2 linked regions of the Caenorhabditis elegans genome follow. The protein of the gene in region 2 interacts with the protein of the main gene of each other region in a pairwise test. Each region holds a gene or a part of one and is shown on either strand. Other genes may lie near its edges.

Region 1 (3,950 bases), on a different chromosome or scaffold from region 2:
TACAATGAATGTTTAATAGAAATTATTTGAATTTTGGCGAGACGTGTAAATTGTTATTCTCAAGATTAGCCACGTCGTTGTTTTAAATTATTTCTTAACTTTTTAAACAATAAAAATGACAGAATTTGTATGCGGTAATGATGAGCAGTCTGCTGAACAAAAAGTATGTGATTTTCAATTTTAATATTCAAATAATACCAATTTTTGCAGAATCCCAATCAAGAAAATCCTTTTTTCAAAGTTGCCCCGAATAAAAAATTTCAAGCTTTGATTCCATTGCTTCTACAGGATTATTGCATTAATCCAATTAGTTCTGAATTGCGAGTCTGTTACGATGCACCTACCAATCAGTTAGTTTTCCATTTTTATTTCTTTTAAACTATAAGAATTTTCAGATCGTCACTTACTTACACCTTGACTTGGGATAAGAATATTTCGGAAGAATATGAATTTGAAAAGGCTTTGTTGGAGGAGAAGCTCATTCAAAATTATAATAATCTCGCACGCCCGAAACTCAATAATCTGGATGCTCCAAAAAACGAGCCCAAATCTCCCATTCAATCTTTGAACTACGCAGTACCAACGAAGAATGCTCTCGAGATGAACTACCCAGCGAAAGACGAAAAGATCACAGTTAAAATGGTTATTCTCACAGCTGCTAAGGATTATGGGGTTTTCTAGTGAGTTTACAATGTTCTATGGAAATATGTAGTAACATAGTTTGTTTCAGTGATCACTGCAAAGTTCAATCGAAGTTTTCTAAAAGTATTATTAATCCAATTTCCAAAATGTTGTTCAACAATGGAAAAGATGAGGCTGACTATTTGAAAACTGGAGAACTCTACTACGCGGAGCTACATCCTGATTTTGAACGAAAGATGTATAAAATCGAGAAACCTGAATACAAGAAATTGAAGTTGAACAATATACCGAAAATGTTCGTTTTCAAAAAATTATTCTGATGTTGTTTTTTTTCAATTTTTAATTTTTCAGATACAATGATATTGCTCTCGTATTGGATTTAGGAGGATATGTGAAGAGTGGACGCACTGTGTATTTCGAGTAGTAACATTTTTGTATCGTAGAAGCTTAACTGTTTAATTATCGATTTAATAAACTTGATTTTTCTGTTTGTTTATTTTTAGTTTTAAGTTGGTTTTTTTCCGGTTTACAAATAGCTTTTGCTTCGTTTGCTAGTCGTCCATACTCGGCAAATTACACCAGCTTCTTCCAGTGCTATGTTTGAATTCTGCCGTAAATTACGCATGTTTGACACACCGTTTTCCTACTTCACTGGCAAAACGTCACAACTTTATAGTGCACTTCTGCAACTTTAAAAATAACACTTATTCAACTTTGCAGCAGCTGTTATGAAGTTACAGAACCCAGGCTGTACTTTAAGCTACACAATCATTGGTGAATCTCCGGTGTATGTGTGCAGGCTGATAAAGAACATGGTGCATCGAGCAAAGATTCAATACTTGTTTTTTGAAGTGGCACAACTGAATAGTTTAACTCTTTACAATAAGAATTTAAAATTTCGTCTGTATTTTTGAGTTGTTTGGTTGCTATGTGAACGGTTACTTCCTATTTTTTTTTCTTAATTAGTTCCTTCTCTCCGTTCTTATCATCAAAATTTTTCTGCCACGAAACTGGTTTTGCCGTACACTTACGCGAAAGTGAAGCAGTAAGAATCGAAAATGAAGAAAATGAAAATGACCTTGCTTTTCCGGAGACTTAGAGAATTAGCAATTTCCAGAAAAAAACGTAGAAAAAGGTTTGATGGATAGATAGGTAACCATTGGAGATAGATGGAAAGTTACACCCAATGAAACAGTATAAATAGCAATAGCGACAACGGAGAAATCACTCTTGTCTTCAATAGTCTATCATGGGCAAGCTTATCCTGGTAGGATCTTCGATCGCACTCACCTGTTGCTTGGTGACCGTCTTCACGATGGGATCTCTCCTTCAGGAGATCTCTGACATGAAGATGGAAGTAGAGGATGGTATGATGGAGTTCAGAGTAAGCTTACTTTAAAGTTTTGAATGTTTCACCAATCATACCTTTCAGGAGATTCATCAAGATACCTGGAACCGTGTTGTTCGCAAGCACATCAACCCAACTGGAGAGACCGATGCCCCACCAAACTTCCAAACTCTTTTCGGTATTCGTAGATCTCGCCAATCCGGATTCCCAGAACAATGTAACTGCGGACCACGCTCCGAAGGATGCCCACCAGGACCACCAGGAACTCCAGGAGAGCAAGGACCACAGGGAGAGTCTGGACCTGACGGAGACGATGGAAAGCCAGGACTTGCCGGAGAAGTCGTCGCTATCGTTCACGATCTTCCAGGAGGATGCATTCAATGCCCACCAGGACGTCCAGGACCACGTGGACCACCAGGAGAGGTCGGACCAGCTGGACCATCCGGAGACAACGGACGCAAGGGACCACCAGGACCACCAGGAGGACCAGGAGGACCAGGAGAGGGAGGAGATGGAGGTCGCCCAGGAAACCCAGGACGCCCAGGACCAGCTGGGCCACGCGGAGAGCCAGGAACCGAGTACAAGCCAGGACAACCAGGACGTCCAGGACCACCAGGACCACGTGGAGAGGCCGGACCAGCCGGACAACCAGGATCCCCAGGAAACGATGGAGAGTCTGGAAAGCCAGGAAACGCTGGACGCCCAGGACCACCAGGAGCCCCAGGAAAGAACGGAACTCCAGGAGTTCGTGGAGAAGATGCCGCCCCAGGACCAGATGCTGGATACTGTCCATGCCCAGCTCGTGCCTACAAGGCTTAAGCGTTCTGTTTCTTTCGAAAATAAATTTTCATTTTCATCAATACATACATACACCAAAAACAATATACACAAAAACGTTATTTATCAGGAAAACTGGAAAATACTATCAAAAAATATTTTCAACCAAAGTTTTTTTTTGAAAATTTAATGCTTAAAAAAGTGAATTCGGAATTTAGTTCCGCTTTTTAAGTTTTGTTGAGATGTAGTCTAGACGTATTCTTTTGGATACGTCTAGCTGTGAACTCTAGTAATATTTTCACATCACTTTCTTATTAGACAGAAATTCATTATGAAAACTCTCTGAACGCTATGCTATATGTATAGTTTGACATCTAACTTCTAACTACTTTTTCCCAACTACCTAACACAAATCATAGAAATCACTACTCAACGCCTGGTCTGTGGTGTAGGTCACAATGATATACAAATTCCAAATATTCTTGAAATTATTCAAGCGAAATTAGAACGCACAATTTTGTTGAAAGTTGAGTAGTGGCGCAAAGAAAAGTTTTTGGAAGCCTCAAAATAATCTGACAAACACTGGATAAATTGTATTTAAAATTAGGAAATTTTTCCAAAAAGTTTAGACTATCAGAAATCTTTTTTCTTCTTTTTAAAATAATTTTTTAAATACACATATTGTCATACGTTACATGTTACATGGGCAAAAGTTTGAAAACGCAGAAGCGCACATTGGCTTTTCAAAAAAATGACATTGCAAATTTTCATTGGTGATTAAAGGTAATTTTTTTACTCCTATTGTATTTGATTGTTTCTTGACACCGAAATATTACTCGCCAAATCTGTTCTCGACTTAAACATTATCAATTTTCTCGCAAACTTCCAATACGCTGTATGACAAGATATAAGTCCTATTGTTGATACCGTTCCATAGAAGTTGAAAACCAAAACGAAAAAGTTGTTGAGCACTGAAACTTTGAACAATTTTGAAATTTTGAACAACTTTAAACAACTTTGATTATAATAATTCGAATAAACCGAATAGCAGCAATATGACACTGAAGGCACTATGAATGCATATGGAACAAGAACTTGAATGAGAATTCCAATAAAAAACTTTTTCTGCAGTTCGATTGTTCTTTTTGAAAAGCTACTTGATTTTGAAAAGACAAGATATCGT
Region 2 (5,309 bases):
AGTTATATAAAGTCCAAATTTTTCGTTGTGCTTCATGTGTAATTTTCTAAAAGCTTTTGTGTTGTGCATTGTTATTTTTCTTCGCTTTCAGTATCTCCAACACCACAAAAATCAATCGGAAGTATTGCTGACTATGATCCAATGAACGGACAATGGGGTACAGCTGCTGCTCAACCGAGAAATTCCGAGAAACTTGGATATTTGAGTAAGGATTTTGTTTTTTTTTTTGGCTTTTGTTTGAATGATTTGCTCATTTGTAATCCACACAAATTTTTTGCACGTTTTGGTACTTATTAATTCGTTTTGTGGAAGAAATAATCTTTTAAAAAGCTCATTTTGAATAATTTTGATCTGTCATTAATTGAAACTAACCGCTTGTTGCAGAGGCTCAAGTGGATAAAGGTCCGGCAAGATTTTGTGCGGATTTTGCAGGAGCTCCACCTCCATCATCAAATAGTATATCTTCAACATCTCCACATTCAACACTTTCTTCTCCACAAAGCACAATTTCACCGACTGGAAAAGCTGGATTTGCAGTTAAGGCAATTTATGATTACGCTGCTGCTGATAAAGACGAGGTAAATTTAAATTAGGTTTTCAACCAGTTTCACGATGAAAATTTATTCAACCATCTAAAATATTTGATTCCAGATTTCATTCCTCGAAGGTGATATCATCGTGAACTGCGAGAAAATTGATGATGGATGGATGACAGGAACAGTTCAACGAACTCTTCAATGGGGAATGCTACCTGCAAATTATGTTCAACCACATAAACTTCCTACCGGATTGCACCGACTTTCTTAATATTTCCAAACCCACGCACATTTTCTATCTCTCCATGACCTGCTCTTGCTCACACATTTCCCCTAAATGCTTCAATTATGCTTCAGGCTTCTGCAGTTATTTTTTCAACTTTCTGAAAATCCCACAAACGGGTTCTGTTCACCTTCTGAATGCCTTTTCTCCATTTGTTTTTCAATCTTCTAAAATGTTATATGGTGCTGAAATTTAAAAATTAAAAATTATAATAAATGAATTTACTATCAATTATTAGGCCATTGTCATAAATAATAAACCGTGTCTATAAGGCACATGAGAACAAAATATACAGATCTAAATTATACTAATCTTATAATATTAGAAAAAGTCTCCAGCATTTGCTCTATCTGCAGCTCCGGCTGATGTTGAAGGTCCGACGTTATCCCCTTTTCTTCGGATCATAGATTCAATCCCAGGTGTGCCAGGAGTTTGTGCTCCTTGGCTCCAAGATGATCCAGGTGTAGTAGAACCACGACTCCATGCAGAACCAGGAGTTGTGGATCGCTTTGAACTTGACGGTCTTGACCAATTCGACATGATTTTCGGCGAGGCGAAAGGAGATTTGTGAGCAGGTAACATTTTTAATCCAAGCTTCTTGGTTGCCAACTTTTGAGCAGCAGGAGATAATTGTGCAAGCTTGTCTGAGACTCGCTTGGATCCAAATCCAGGTGTTCGGCTGAAACTTTACCAAGTTGAAAATTATTTGAAGTACTATTATCTCGTTATAGATTTTAATACCATAGAGAAATATATTTTATAACTTGAAAAAATAAACAATTTTTAATTGAAAAATGAAAACTCACTGAGCTCCTTCAGCTGCTCTCATCGCAACTTTTCTCTTGTCTCTATATTTGGCCGCGATTGAATCATTCATAGATTGTGCAATTTTCTCCCGATACGGAACCTCTGGTATCTTGAATACAGGCGCCGCACCAGGCAACGAATGCTCTGTAACGTCAGGCGCATCAAGTCGGAATGGTGTTCCATCAATTTCTCCCCAAGTCATAAGAGGAGAATCCATGTCGTCAGGATTTGGATTCGGTGTTTCGAGTAATTTGAATGAGTTGGCTGGAGTTACTTCATTTCCCAAAAAATCAACTTTTCCGGCATTCGCGAGAGCATGGCTCACTGCTGCTCGAGTCATAGCTTCGTCGCTAGGCTTCAATTTTCCGGAGTCTGGAAACCTAGTGCCACGTTTATTTATTTCAGTTTGCTGTTTTCTAGCTGCATCTGCAATCTCTGCAGGTGTCAGAGCTGCCCCATCCGGATTGAAGAGTACAGTGTTCCATGCTTTGTATGCCCAATTGTCTACATTCAGAGGTCTATTGTCATCAGCATCTACAGCATGTTTTAAAGCCAACTGCACGTCAGCTTCAGCAGCAATTGCTTGTCGAGTCACCTGAAATTAGATTAAGTTACGAATTCGACGATATCAGATTTTATTCGTGAAAGAATATCTTACAAGGTTTTTGTTATGCTCTTCCTCGGCTTTATAAACCCAAGGACGACGTGCATCTTCTCGTTCCCTCATAACTTTCGCCAATTCCTCGAAGGAAGCATTGTCTTCTGATGTGTATTTGTTGAGATATGACGTTAAAGTCTCTTCTTTCTTCTTTTTTCGTTTCCGATTTAACGCCTGAAACTCTGCGAAAGATAGTAATGGATTGAAAATCATAAATCTAACCTCATTATCTCCTTCCTCATTAGCAAAAGGCATTGGAGATTGCATCCAATCATGTGCACTCGAAGTTGAAGCAGATGAAGGGCCCGGTGTATCTGCATCGAAAGATGAAACATCAGGAGCCTCAGTTGTCGAACGAGTTGTTATTGGGGTTCTGAAGCTTCTATCGGTCCGCACACTTCCAGTACTGCAGAACTTCATTTGAAGTTCTTTTATTTTATTAATGTCCTTATTTGCAACAGCCTCCAAATACTCTTTCTGTGCCTGAAAATAGAACTCATTAAAACAGTAAATATTTATAAATAATGATTATTTTACCTGCATTTTCTTGAGATGTGGAAAATAATCTTTTTCTATAATTTTATCAAGTCCAGCAATGTACTTCTCCTCGGGAACAACTTGGCGCTCAATTTTCTTAGTAACTAGGGTTTTCTGTGACAATTTCACTACTTTTCCCTCGTTTATTGATTTTGGCACCATCAGCTGAGCTCGCTCGTCATTTTTGTCGAACGACGACATTTTTCGAGTTCTGAAAATTTACAAAATAAAATTAAAAGCACTATTTTAAAAAGAAAAAACCACGAAAATTAGAAAAATAAAAGAAATTGCGAAATTTTATAAAAAATCGGAGTTTCGTAGTGCAAGTTGTTTAGCGCTCTCGTACGTAGTCCTCGTGGACAATAAACTTACTGTTAGAATTTGTTTTCTTTCAAAGATTATTTGATTAAATACATAACACTTCTTGTCCGTAAATTAATATATTTGATTTCTGGTTAATTTATCTTCAAAAACATTAATTGCTTTCAGAAAAGGTGATAATCTCGAAATGGCTTCAACAAAAGATGAAGTTGTGAGAATGAGCGTCGATGAGTACTGGGAAGATATTAAAGACGATTATCTTATACAACTAGCTAACACGGACCCTAATGAAGTCTATCCAAGCAATAACCCCGGACCAACAACTGCTGATGGCCAAATCAATTTTGAATGTCACTGTGTCGGTCATCTTGTTGGAAGCCCTTGTGGATTCGAGTTTCGGGAAGCGATTACGTGCCAAAAGACCAATAGTGATGGTGAAATAGAGCAGGTAACAATTATTTAGCTCTAGAGTTCTCGAAAATAAATAAATAATATGTATTGTAGGGAGCTTGCGGTAAGGAGTTGATGTCGTTCATGGAGTGTGTCACACGAACACAGTGTTTCGGTACCGGTGACAATGATAAAAAGTGATGATTCAATTATAATTTGTTCATTTTGTTAATTTATAAATAATTATTGTTTAAATACTGTTTTGTAATAATTATACTGTATTTTGTGCATTACAAAGAGTATTGCGAAACGTTTATTTGCTCTCTTTTCTTTTCATCTGTATATCTTCGAACACTCCTTCATTTTTTGGTTTTCTTTTCGCTGTTCGGATGTTCCTTTGGCCGGCTTGAAGTACTTTTCATATCTATTCTCCTTTTCCACTTGAAGTTTTAGTTGCTGTGGAAGATTCGATTCGGCCATCAGTTGTCAGGCTTAAATATGGTAAAAACGTTGCAGATCATTAATCGGCGGGAAGCGGGAATTTTGCATATTGTAGGAGAAGAAAGTATAGACCCGGTTTTACGGTAAAGTTCTTCTTCGCTTTAACAAATTGCTTCACTTGTCATACTTACGCTATTTTTGTAGGGCGCCAATGAAAGAATTTAGCGTTTCGAGTTCATCTATCAATTTGTATTTAAATTCTTGTGATTTTTGAGTGAGCATTGTAAGAAAAAATGATACTCAAATTCTCCGATTGGGTCAGATCAAATGATTTTCAATGTATTATAAATATTTTTTCAAGATCTCAATAGACGCCTTTTGATAACATATCCTAATCTAAATATTCTAATACCATATATCAAACAAAAATATCATGTTGACAGGCTGGATAGAGAGATTTTATACAATTTAAGAGATTCAGAGAAACGGGTGTCGGTTGAAGTGTAGGCTTTTCCCCTTAGTGTTTGCGCGCCCCCCTTCGCAAGCAGTTAGAGACGGTAGAAAAAGGGAAAAACCGAGAAGCTACTTGAAAATGTCTCGTGTTGAGAAAGGAAAAGATCGAGTCAAGAGAAGCAAAACTGGGGAGATATCAGCTAAATATACTCCCAGAACACCACTTGATATGAAAGTAGTAGTTTCTCTGTGAATTATGAGTGATTTCTGTGTTTTCCAGTGTTTTTTCGGCAGGTACAAGTCCAAACAGCATATTACGATGTTTAAAAAATATATTTTGCCTCAAATCGTACTCACCGGTTAAAGAGACATGACACGATTTTCCTTCATGGGTCTCGCCGCGAAATAAGTAAAGTAGAATGTTCCTTTAAACTTCGGGTACGGTTTTGAGGCAATATCGATTTTTTCTTCTTTTTTTGTTTGATGCTAAATAGAATAGGTTTTTCGCACCTTGAAACTGCAATTTCATGTTTAAATGTGTTTATTAGTTTTTTATAAATTTCCTATCACCCTACAAGAACAAAATTCATGAGCGCATTGAGAGAATTCTGAAATTTTTCAAAGATAAGATTTTTAGTCAAGCTCTCTTACATGCTCCTCTATACACTGATCAGTTAAAGTACTTTATCTGGTTTTTGTAGCGAGACCTGTCAACAGTGATAATTTAACTACCTCTCCTAACCCCCTCGAGATATGCGCACCCGCCTATTTCCCTCACTATACCCAGGTCGTTTACGTCCTCTTATCCGTCTGCGTTTCTTCTTCTCCACGCTCTCTATTCCCTCTTCTTCAATTATTTTTTGCAACCAGTTTTGCATCGTTC

The links. Proteins that work in one complex are often made in the same cells at the same time.
Region 1: the proteins of ess-2 (region 2) and col-140 interact in a two-hybrid assay, tested with the Caenorhabditis elegans proteins (one large-scale study listed by BioGRID).

The regions. Positions count from the first base shown.
Region 1 is NC_003283.11:5,834,753-5,838,702, reverse strand, and holds col-140 (Nematode cuticle collagen N-terminal domain-containing protein), read left to right. Parts: upstream 1-1,868; 5' UTR 1,869-1,891; coding exon 1,892-2,026; intron 2,027-2,074; coding exon 2,075-2,809; 3' UTR 2,810-2,848; downstream 2,849-3,950. Other genes in the region: F26F12.2 (uncharacterized protein), read left to right, coding at 116-163, 211-350, 396-680, 731-937, 994-1,066; srh-76 (Serpentine Receptor, class H), read right to left, coding at 3,566-3,738, 3,784-3,950.
Region 2 is NC_003281.10:8,487,316-8,492,624, forward strand, and holds ess-2 (Splicing factor ESS-2), read right to left. Parts: upstream 3,038-5,309; 5' UTR 3,023-3,037; coding exon 2,822-3,022; intron 2,768-2,821; coding exon 2,507-2,767; intron 2,459-2,506; coding exon 2,285-2,458; intron 2,222-2,284; coding exon 1,626-2,221; intron 1,505-1,625; coding exon 1,141-1,504; 3' UTR 1,024-1,140; downstream 1-1,023. Other genes in the region: LIM and SH3 domain protein F42H10.3, read left to right, coding at 92-205, 385-578, 652-807; F42H10.2 (coiled-coil-helix-coiled-coil-helix domain-containing protein), read left to right, coding at 3,330-3,590, 3,647-3,733. UniProt on the Caenorhabditis elegans protein: Regulates pre-mRNA splicing.